Linked DNA regions of Macaca fascicularis. The protein of the gene in region 2 purifies or fractionates together with the protein of the main gene of each other region. This does not show direct contact. Links are inferred from orthologs where the notes say so. Each region holds a gene or a part of one and is shown on either strand. Other genes may lie near its edges.

Region 1 (3,398 bases), on a different chromosome or scaffold from region 2:
TGAGTTCTAGTCCTAGCGCCTTCTCTTATTAACCTGTATGAGCTATGGAAAGTCCATTACCTACATTATTCCTGTGTTTCCTCCATGGTGCAGAGGCAGTTCTTGCCTGCCTGACAGGCCTGTTGTGAGGATTAGATAAAAGGAGAAAAATACACGTCAGGGCTCATGTACAATGTCTCACTCTTTAAGTGCCCACAAAGCATCTATTAATTTTGATAAAATGTAGAAACTTAAGGAAATTATTTTTGGTTTTTATTCCCATAGGATGTGATTATGGACAATCTTACTGTTTTGTTTTTTATGCTTTTCTATATTTGTGCATGTTTTTGAAATAAACATGAGTTAAAGACAAAACCACAAACTTCACAAATTTAGGAGTAATCATGAGTAGCGATTTTTCCCACCCCATTAGGGGAAACAGTTATATCTGTGTATACTGTAAAACAGAGAATTGTCTCATTCCCAACCATACTGCTTTGTTAAAATGATAACGTACACTTCCAGAAATGATTGTATCACAAGAATCTTTAATGTTTACTTTAAAGTTGACTCACGGTGGGGTTGTATATGTGTTTAGTAAAGTGTGCCAAGTGCTCTCACATTGAGACCAGTCCAGTTCAAATTAGTTTACGCCACGAGGATGTTTTCAGTCCCCAGCAAGGTCATGAGGGCCTTGACATTTCTTGGTTAGGCCGGCTTTGCTGGTGAGTTTTTCCAAACTCTGCAGGAGCAGTCTACCCCAACACACATCTCAGTCCCATGTAAATTAATAAGATGGAAACGTTCTCAATGTACTTCATCAGTTTAGCACGTCTCTGATACAAAAATCCAAGAAAGGTACCACAAAAGCGAAAGCACCAACCAAGCTTACATATAAACAAACATGCATACATCCTAAATACTACACAATAGTACCCAAATGAATACAACATTGCATTAAAGGTATAAAAGCACTGTACTGGAAACGTAAAAGTTACACGTGAATACTGCACTGTAAATCCTGAACACTCTAATGACCCACCCCCACCCTTCCACAGCCCTGGTGAGGATCAGAAAGCATTCATCTGCCTCCAGACTTGGCTAGTCCTCGGAGACACTGCTGCGAGGGCAGTGGGCAGCGGGATTAGCCTCCCGCAGAGCTCTGGCCTCCTCTAGAGCCTCTCTGTATCGGGAGGGCCAGGCCTGGGGGTCTTTCTTAAAGACCCTGGCCAGGAACTCCATGATTTGCAGCTTGGTGATTTCGCGGCTGGCCCGGGAGCCCCAGAAGAACTCGTACTCGGGCGGCTCCACGTACGGGACGCGCTGGTACTTCAGGTAATTCTGCTGGACGAACTCCTCAGTGATGAGCTTCCGCACGTCCCCGAAGGTGGAGTGCTTCTTCCAGGGCCGCAGCCCCAGGATGCGGAGCACGTTCCAGACCGCGCTCTCTCTGGCGCCGCGGCCCTTCACGTAGATGAGGCTCAGGATCATGAGGAGGAGACCTGTCATGGGCATGCGGTTGCTCAGCGCCACCCTGTCCAGCTCCTCGGGCTCCAGCGCTTTGACCAGCGCAAACTCCATGGTGTGCAGGCTGGTTAGCCTCAGGTGCAGCCCGAACACCCGGGCGAGGATGAGGCTGGTGCGCCGGAGGATGCTCCTGCACCACTTCTTGTAGCTGCCGATGACATCTTTCACCATGTCTGGAAACCAGATGATCATCTTCTTCTGGTCCTTGACCAGCACGTACCACATGAGCTCGTGCGCCTTCTGCACCAGCTGCGCCGGGGCTGGCGGGGCCGGGCCGGGCTGGGCCGCGCTCGGGGCCTGGTGGGCGCGGCCCTCCTCCGCGGCCTGCTGCAGGGCCTTCGGGTCGTCCTCGTCGCTCGGGGCCTGGGGAGGCTGCGCGGCCTGCGGGGCGGCCGTCGGGCCTAAAGGAGGGCTCTGCGGCTCTGCCAGGGTCTCGGACGGAGGAACCCCCTCCGGAACCCCAGGGCTGCTGTGCACCTCGGAGCTGGGGGCCTCGGCTGCAAAGTTAGGGTCGCTTAGATCCTTACTTTGTTCTGACATATCTGCGCCGTCTGGCAAGGGCAGGGCCTCTGCGTCCAGGAGCTCTTCAAGCCTGCGCTCCCTCCGCGGATTCCTGGAGAGGAAGTGCGCGTTGCTGTGCGCGGCGCCTTCCGCAGCGGCGGGCAGGGCGGGGCGGCGGCGGGACGCGGCACTGCGCCTGCGCGACTGCGGCCTTGGCCAGCGGCTGGGGGCGGGCGGGGCAGCGCGGAGCCCCGACGGGGAGGGTCCCTGGCTAAGCTTCACCTGCGGAGAGAGCGATCCCGGGGTTTCCCGTTTGGGCTGAGGGGATCTAGGGCAGGAGAAGAGTGCGATGGATGCGTACTGGAGAAGGGGCCAGTTTAGGAGAAAGATGATAACTTAAGTTTTTGGGATGTTGGGGTCAAGTTTCTTGGGAAACGCTTACCTGATATATCCAGAATTAAGTTAAATATGAGCGTCCCAGAGAAAGGTCTGGGCGGCTGTGTAAACTTGAGCTTTATGCGAACGAGTGAGAGGAACAGTCGGGCTTGTCCAAGAAAATGTGTAAAGTGTATGTCTGAGGTTGGAATCCTGAGAAATTCCAATAAAAAATGATTGACTCCCTCCCTACCAAATCAGAGGGGTTGTAAGAAAAGGAGAAATGCAGCGTGTCCTTAACGTAATTTCCTGTCAACCCATGTGAACTATGAACCTTTTAAGTAGGCAGCGGACTTAGAGCATCATTAATGCTTTAGTGGGCATAAATTTGGGTTTTACATTTCCTTTGGGTCACTTTGATTCCATTTTATTTTTTTCCATACTTAGTCCATAGCAGAAGGATTGCTATATCTTTTAGCACAAACTTGTATGATAATGTCTTTTTCCCTCTGCCCAGCACCCTTATTCTCCGATTCACCTTCTCCCAGGACCCTCTCTGAAGCTACTGAGTCCTCCACGTTGGAAGCCACACCCAAGTCCTTCCTGAGATTTAAAAAAAAAAACAACTAGGTCTCATAGGTAATATCTGGTAGTGTCTCTGAGATGACCCAAGGGTAGCAGGGGCAACATGGGTAACCCTGTTTTCCAAGTATAGAAGACAGATTCCCACTGGGCAAAGACAAAACTCGCTCCTACAGGCTCTCCATGAAAAAAGGGTCATTGGTGGAGCCTCTGAAACCAAGGGCCTTGATGCTGCTTCAGCATCCTTGGTCTGGGCTGATGTGGTCCTTCAGCGCTTCCAGGGTTTCTTCTCATCAGTAGCTTCTTAAATATGTTGAGTCTAATTATTGCCACTCGAAGCCAAAAGCACATTTAAAAATTGTCTTAACATGTCTAGAGTCCTCGCTGTGAGTATATATCTTTTCCCACTTGTCACTTTATTTTTCCTCAAGCAG
Region 2 (4,078 bases):
GAGCTACAAGGGAGGGGGCCTGCCTGCCTAACTCCAGGCCAGGCCTGCCTAATGCCTCCTGCCAGGCCATCTGGAGCCAGATCTCTCTCTCTCTCTCTCTGTGGTGTGTGTGTGTGTGTGTGTGTGTGTCTCCCAAGCCATGTGGGTGGCTGGGAGCTGTGGGGTTGTGACCTGGCCCTCCTGGGAAGCCTCTGACTCACCCGTGGTCAGTTTCACTTCTGACATCTGGTCAAGTTCACAGCTGGCCAGCTTCCTGCATGGCCATTTTCACTTTCCCTCTCCAAGATCTGGGAGCAAAGAGCCCCTTCTCCTTCCCCAACCCACCCCACCCCATAGTGACACATGGGAACTTACTGGCTTTCTGTTAAAACTTCCCCTTTTGGTGTGGGGTAAAAGAGGGCAGGAATTGACCGAATTGGAAATTATACCTGGGTCCCTGGCACACACCCCATCCCAAACAATTCAAACCATGTGTATTTCCAGAAAATCTCTTTGTACTATTTTTCTTTCTTTGCTATTTAATGTTCATCACTTATGTTTTATGTGTAAGTTTCAGGAGGACCCAAGAAATGATTACACAGGAGGCAAGGAGGGGAGATGACAGGAGGGATGCTGGGGGTCTGGAGCTCGTGGCCCCCAGTTGGGGGGCCAAAAGGGTTCCATCTCAGCACAAGGGGAGAAAAAAGGGGCCCCAGAACCAAACACATGCTAAAACATACTTGCCAGCCCCCAAAGCCCCTCCCCACGTGCTGGGGAGGAAAATAAATACACTCAGACTCTGTCCCACTCCCCAGGTGCCCAGGTGAGCGGCCAGCAGGTGAGTTTCCTCCCCTCATCACAGATTGAGGTCAAAGAATTGCCATTTACTACAATGCTCCTAGTCCCTTCCACAGGGCTGGGGGAACCCTGGGCTGGGGAGGGGTGGCTGTCAGCGCACAGCCTGCCTGGGGCTTGTCATGCTAAATAGAGGAGAGCCACACTCATTCCAACATCAGGCAAAACAGAACAGGCCAGGGAGGGGGTTGAAAGTCCACTGAGGCCTCATGGCCCCCTTCTGGCCAAGCTCAGGAAAAAACAGTCCTTTGCAGGCTTGTCTAGAGCTGGGAGAAATCCCCACGGGTCACAGTCGTTCCTTCTTGCCGCATTCCCACACTGGCCCGCTTTTCTTCATGACAATCTTGTGGGCCCAGCCAACCCCATACTTGCAAGGAAGGGGAGGATGGGGGAGCATTCCTCCACGTGTAAGCCCTTGAAGACAGACGCCAGCTCCAGCCTCAGCAGTCCTTGGCCCGCCAAACCCGGGGGCGAGTGAAGACGGCCGAGCAGACCTCAATTCCCTCCGATGCTTCTCTGGCAGCTGCCCCGGGCAGGATCCGGTCTCAGCCCAGGAGAAAGAACTCATGGAGAAAAGTGAGATTTCTCCTCCTGTGTGTATGTGTGTGCGCGTGCGTGTGTGCATGCGTCTGTGTGTTGCAAGGTGAGGGGTTCTTGGTCCCTGACCCCTAGGCTGATTCTAGGGGCCAGTGTTAGCTCCGGGTCTGTGCCTGCCGGATGGAGGGCAGCAGACTGGAGCCATGCCACAGTTGTCACACGGGCATGCTTGACAGGGACAGGCAGAGGGAAGCGGCACCCTTTCCACAAACCCCAAACCTGACTCCATCATGGACCAGGCCCTGGGCAAGCATCCCATCTCCACGGGTGGGCGGGCAGTGGGGAAGGGGTGGGGGTCTGGAGACAATGGAAGGCAAAGCTGACTTGGCTTCAAGCCATTTCTCAGAAAGTCACCTGCCACCCTCCCCTCGCCCTCAGGCAAACCTGAGGCCCCTCATTTAGAGAAGACGGTGCCGGCCTGCACTTGGCCTCCCCATTGCTGTGCGGCTTTGGGCGAGTCACGGCCTCCCTCTGGGCCTCATTGACATATATGCAAAATGAGGGGAGTGGGCTGAGCTTCAAAACCCCCTCCCAGCTCTGACAGGCCTCTGATCCTCTTCATCTTAGGCTGGGGTGGGGGGCGAGAGGGGCTGAGGGAGGGTTGAGGCCACTGGGATGCTACCCTTGCTCCCCAAGTTCACAGTGTAGAGTCCATGGCTCTGGTTCCTCGATTCTTCCCTCTGAGTCTCTGGGGCCTTGTCACTTCCCCCAGTACCATCCCTGGTGTCGGTCCCCCAGATATGACACCTGCTGTGGTGGGAGGGGCTGGCCCACCTTGCAGTGTGGGAGGAGGGGGCAGGTGGCCTGAGATGGTGACGGGGCAGGGGCAGGGTGGGGGAGGCAGCAGGGGCACTTCTCTCTCTGGACAGGGAGTGTGGTCAGAAGTGAAGGGGCCACACGGGCTGCACCGACAGGGCTGTGGTTTTGGGGCCTGGACTCTGAGGTCCTGCCCAGAGGAGCTCAGTTCTGCCAGGTGGGCCCCCCACAAAGGGTGGGGGTGCGGGCTCCACAGGGGTTGGCTGGAGCATCGGTCGTCGGAATGTGGGGCGGGGCGGGGACTCCCTGGTTGGGCTCACACCGGGGACGTGGCAGTGGACTCACTGCACAGACTCTCCACGAGGTCGGCTCGCTGGATGCGGCGCAGGGCGGCCAGGAGGGCGTCCAGTGTGGCGCTGTCCTGGGTGGCCCAGCTTGCAAGCAGGGCACGAACGGGGCAGGCCTCGTGGGTAAAGGAGTCTATGTGCTCGGGCTGGTAGCCCAGCTCGCCCGCCAGGTGCCGCCAGGTGTCCCCCGCAGACCCGTTGAGAAGCTTCTCCACCTCCTCCCGCTTGGCTGGGGGCAGGCTGCTGTAGAGGCCTCCATCACCCTTGAGGGCTGCAGAGAACCCAGAGGAGAGTCAGGTCCTACCCCTGCACTCCTTTCCCCAACAGTGGGTGCTGGGGTAAGACCCAAGGTGGGCGGTGGCAGTGCTCCTCCCCATCAAGAGGCCTAGGGCCAAGCCAAGGTCCTGGGTGGGACACCAGGAAGTGAAGGCACCTGGGGGGACTTGTTGTCCCTTCCTCCTGTCACTCCAGCCCAATCCCTACCCCCATCCCTCCTCTCCTCCCCCCCAGCAATTAATCATGGCAAAGGAGGAGACAGGGCTTCTCAGTTCCAGACATCTACAGCAAGTGTCCCGGAGCTGGGCTATGGGCCACTAATTAGGGTACACACTTAACTACTTGTTCCCCAGAAGTCCAGGGCAGGAGGCTAATTGCAGCTACTTTGGGCAGTAATTAGCCCCCAGGGGGGACAATTAGCTTGATGAGTCTGGATGCTCCAACTTGTAAAAGCCTCCATTTCCCAAGTCCTTTCCCTGGAGAGGGCCTCTCCTTCCCATTCCCCTCAGCCAGCCTCTCCATCCATCTACAGGGGCACTGCTGAGCCAGCCCTGCCTCCCCCTCCTCCCACAGTCCTTCCTGGAGTCTAATCTTAACCGCTTCTGTTTCCTCAGCCTCAGCTCCGACTCAGCTCCTCAGCGGGGCCCCTGCTCACCCTGGCCCGAGGCCGTCTGCGTGTGGGACTGCTGGTCATGCAGGCTCTGGCTGTCCACGGAGATGCCACTGTCACTATGGAGTTTTTCTCCCTCTGGTGGGGGCGTCTGGTTCACTGGCCGGCTGTTGGCTCCTTGCTTGTTCTGCTTGCAGCTGTTCCACCTGGAGCCAGAGGACAGGCCAGGTCTCAGGGGGCGGGGGCCGTAGCGGCGGATGCAGCTGAGGTATCTGTGCTCTGCCGTGCGAGGGCCAGGGGCATGGCGGGTGCCCAACTGTAACCGCCACCCCAGCATCTAAGGCTCCTCTTTGCACATCTGCCCCCCACCTACCCTGAAAGCTCCATGAGGGGCCCTCTGTAAGTGTTCAGTAAATGTTCCTGGAATGAGCAGTGCAGCACTAAGTGACTGCTCAGGAACTCCTCTTCTCCCAATCTACCCTTCTAAAATACTCCCACATGTGGGCAGTGATACATACAAGGATTTCCTCTGCAATTATAAGCAATAACAAAAACCTGGAAAAAAAAAACAAATGTCCATCAATAGGGGACTGGCTAAATAAATTACCATCCATCCATACTATTGAATGAGTGGTTACAAATGATCAGCTAATCTACA

Evidence for each region.
Region 1: the proteins of NGFR (region 2) and NDN purify together in Homo sapiens (affinity purification with western blotting; 3 studies listed by BioGRID). This does not show direct contact. The link is inferred for Macaca fascicularis from reciprocal best matches to the Homo sapiens genes NGFR and NDN.

Annotation. Positions count from the first base shown.
Region 1 is NC_088381.1:5,296,510-5,299,907, reverse strand, and holds NDN (necdin), read right to left. Parts: upstream 2,135-3,398; 5' UTR 2,047-2,134; coding exon 1,081-2,046; 3' UTR 508-1,080; downstream 1-507. UniProt on the Homo sapiens protein: Growth suppressor that facilitates the entry of the cell into cell cycle arrest.
Region 2 is NC_088390.1:57,198,975-57,203,052, forward strand, and holds the end of NGFR (tumor necrosis factor receptor superfamily member 16), read right to left. Parts: intron 3,627-4,078; coding exon 3,466-3,626; intron 2,806-3,465; coding exon 2,504-2,805; 3' UTR 501-2,503; downstream 1-500. UniProt on the Homo sapiens protein: Low affinity receptor which can bind to NGF, BDNF, NTF3, and NTF4. Forms a heterodimeric receptor with SORCS2 that binds the precursor forms of NGF, BDNF and NTF3 with high affinity, and has much lower affinity for mature NGF and BDNF.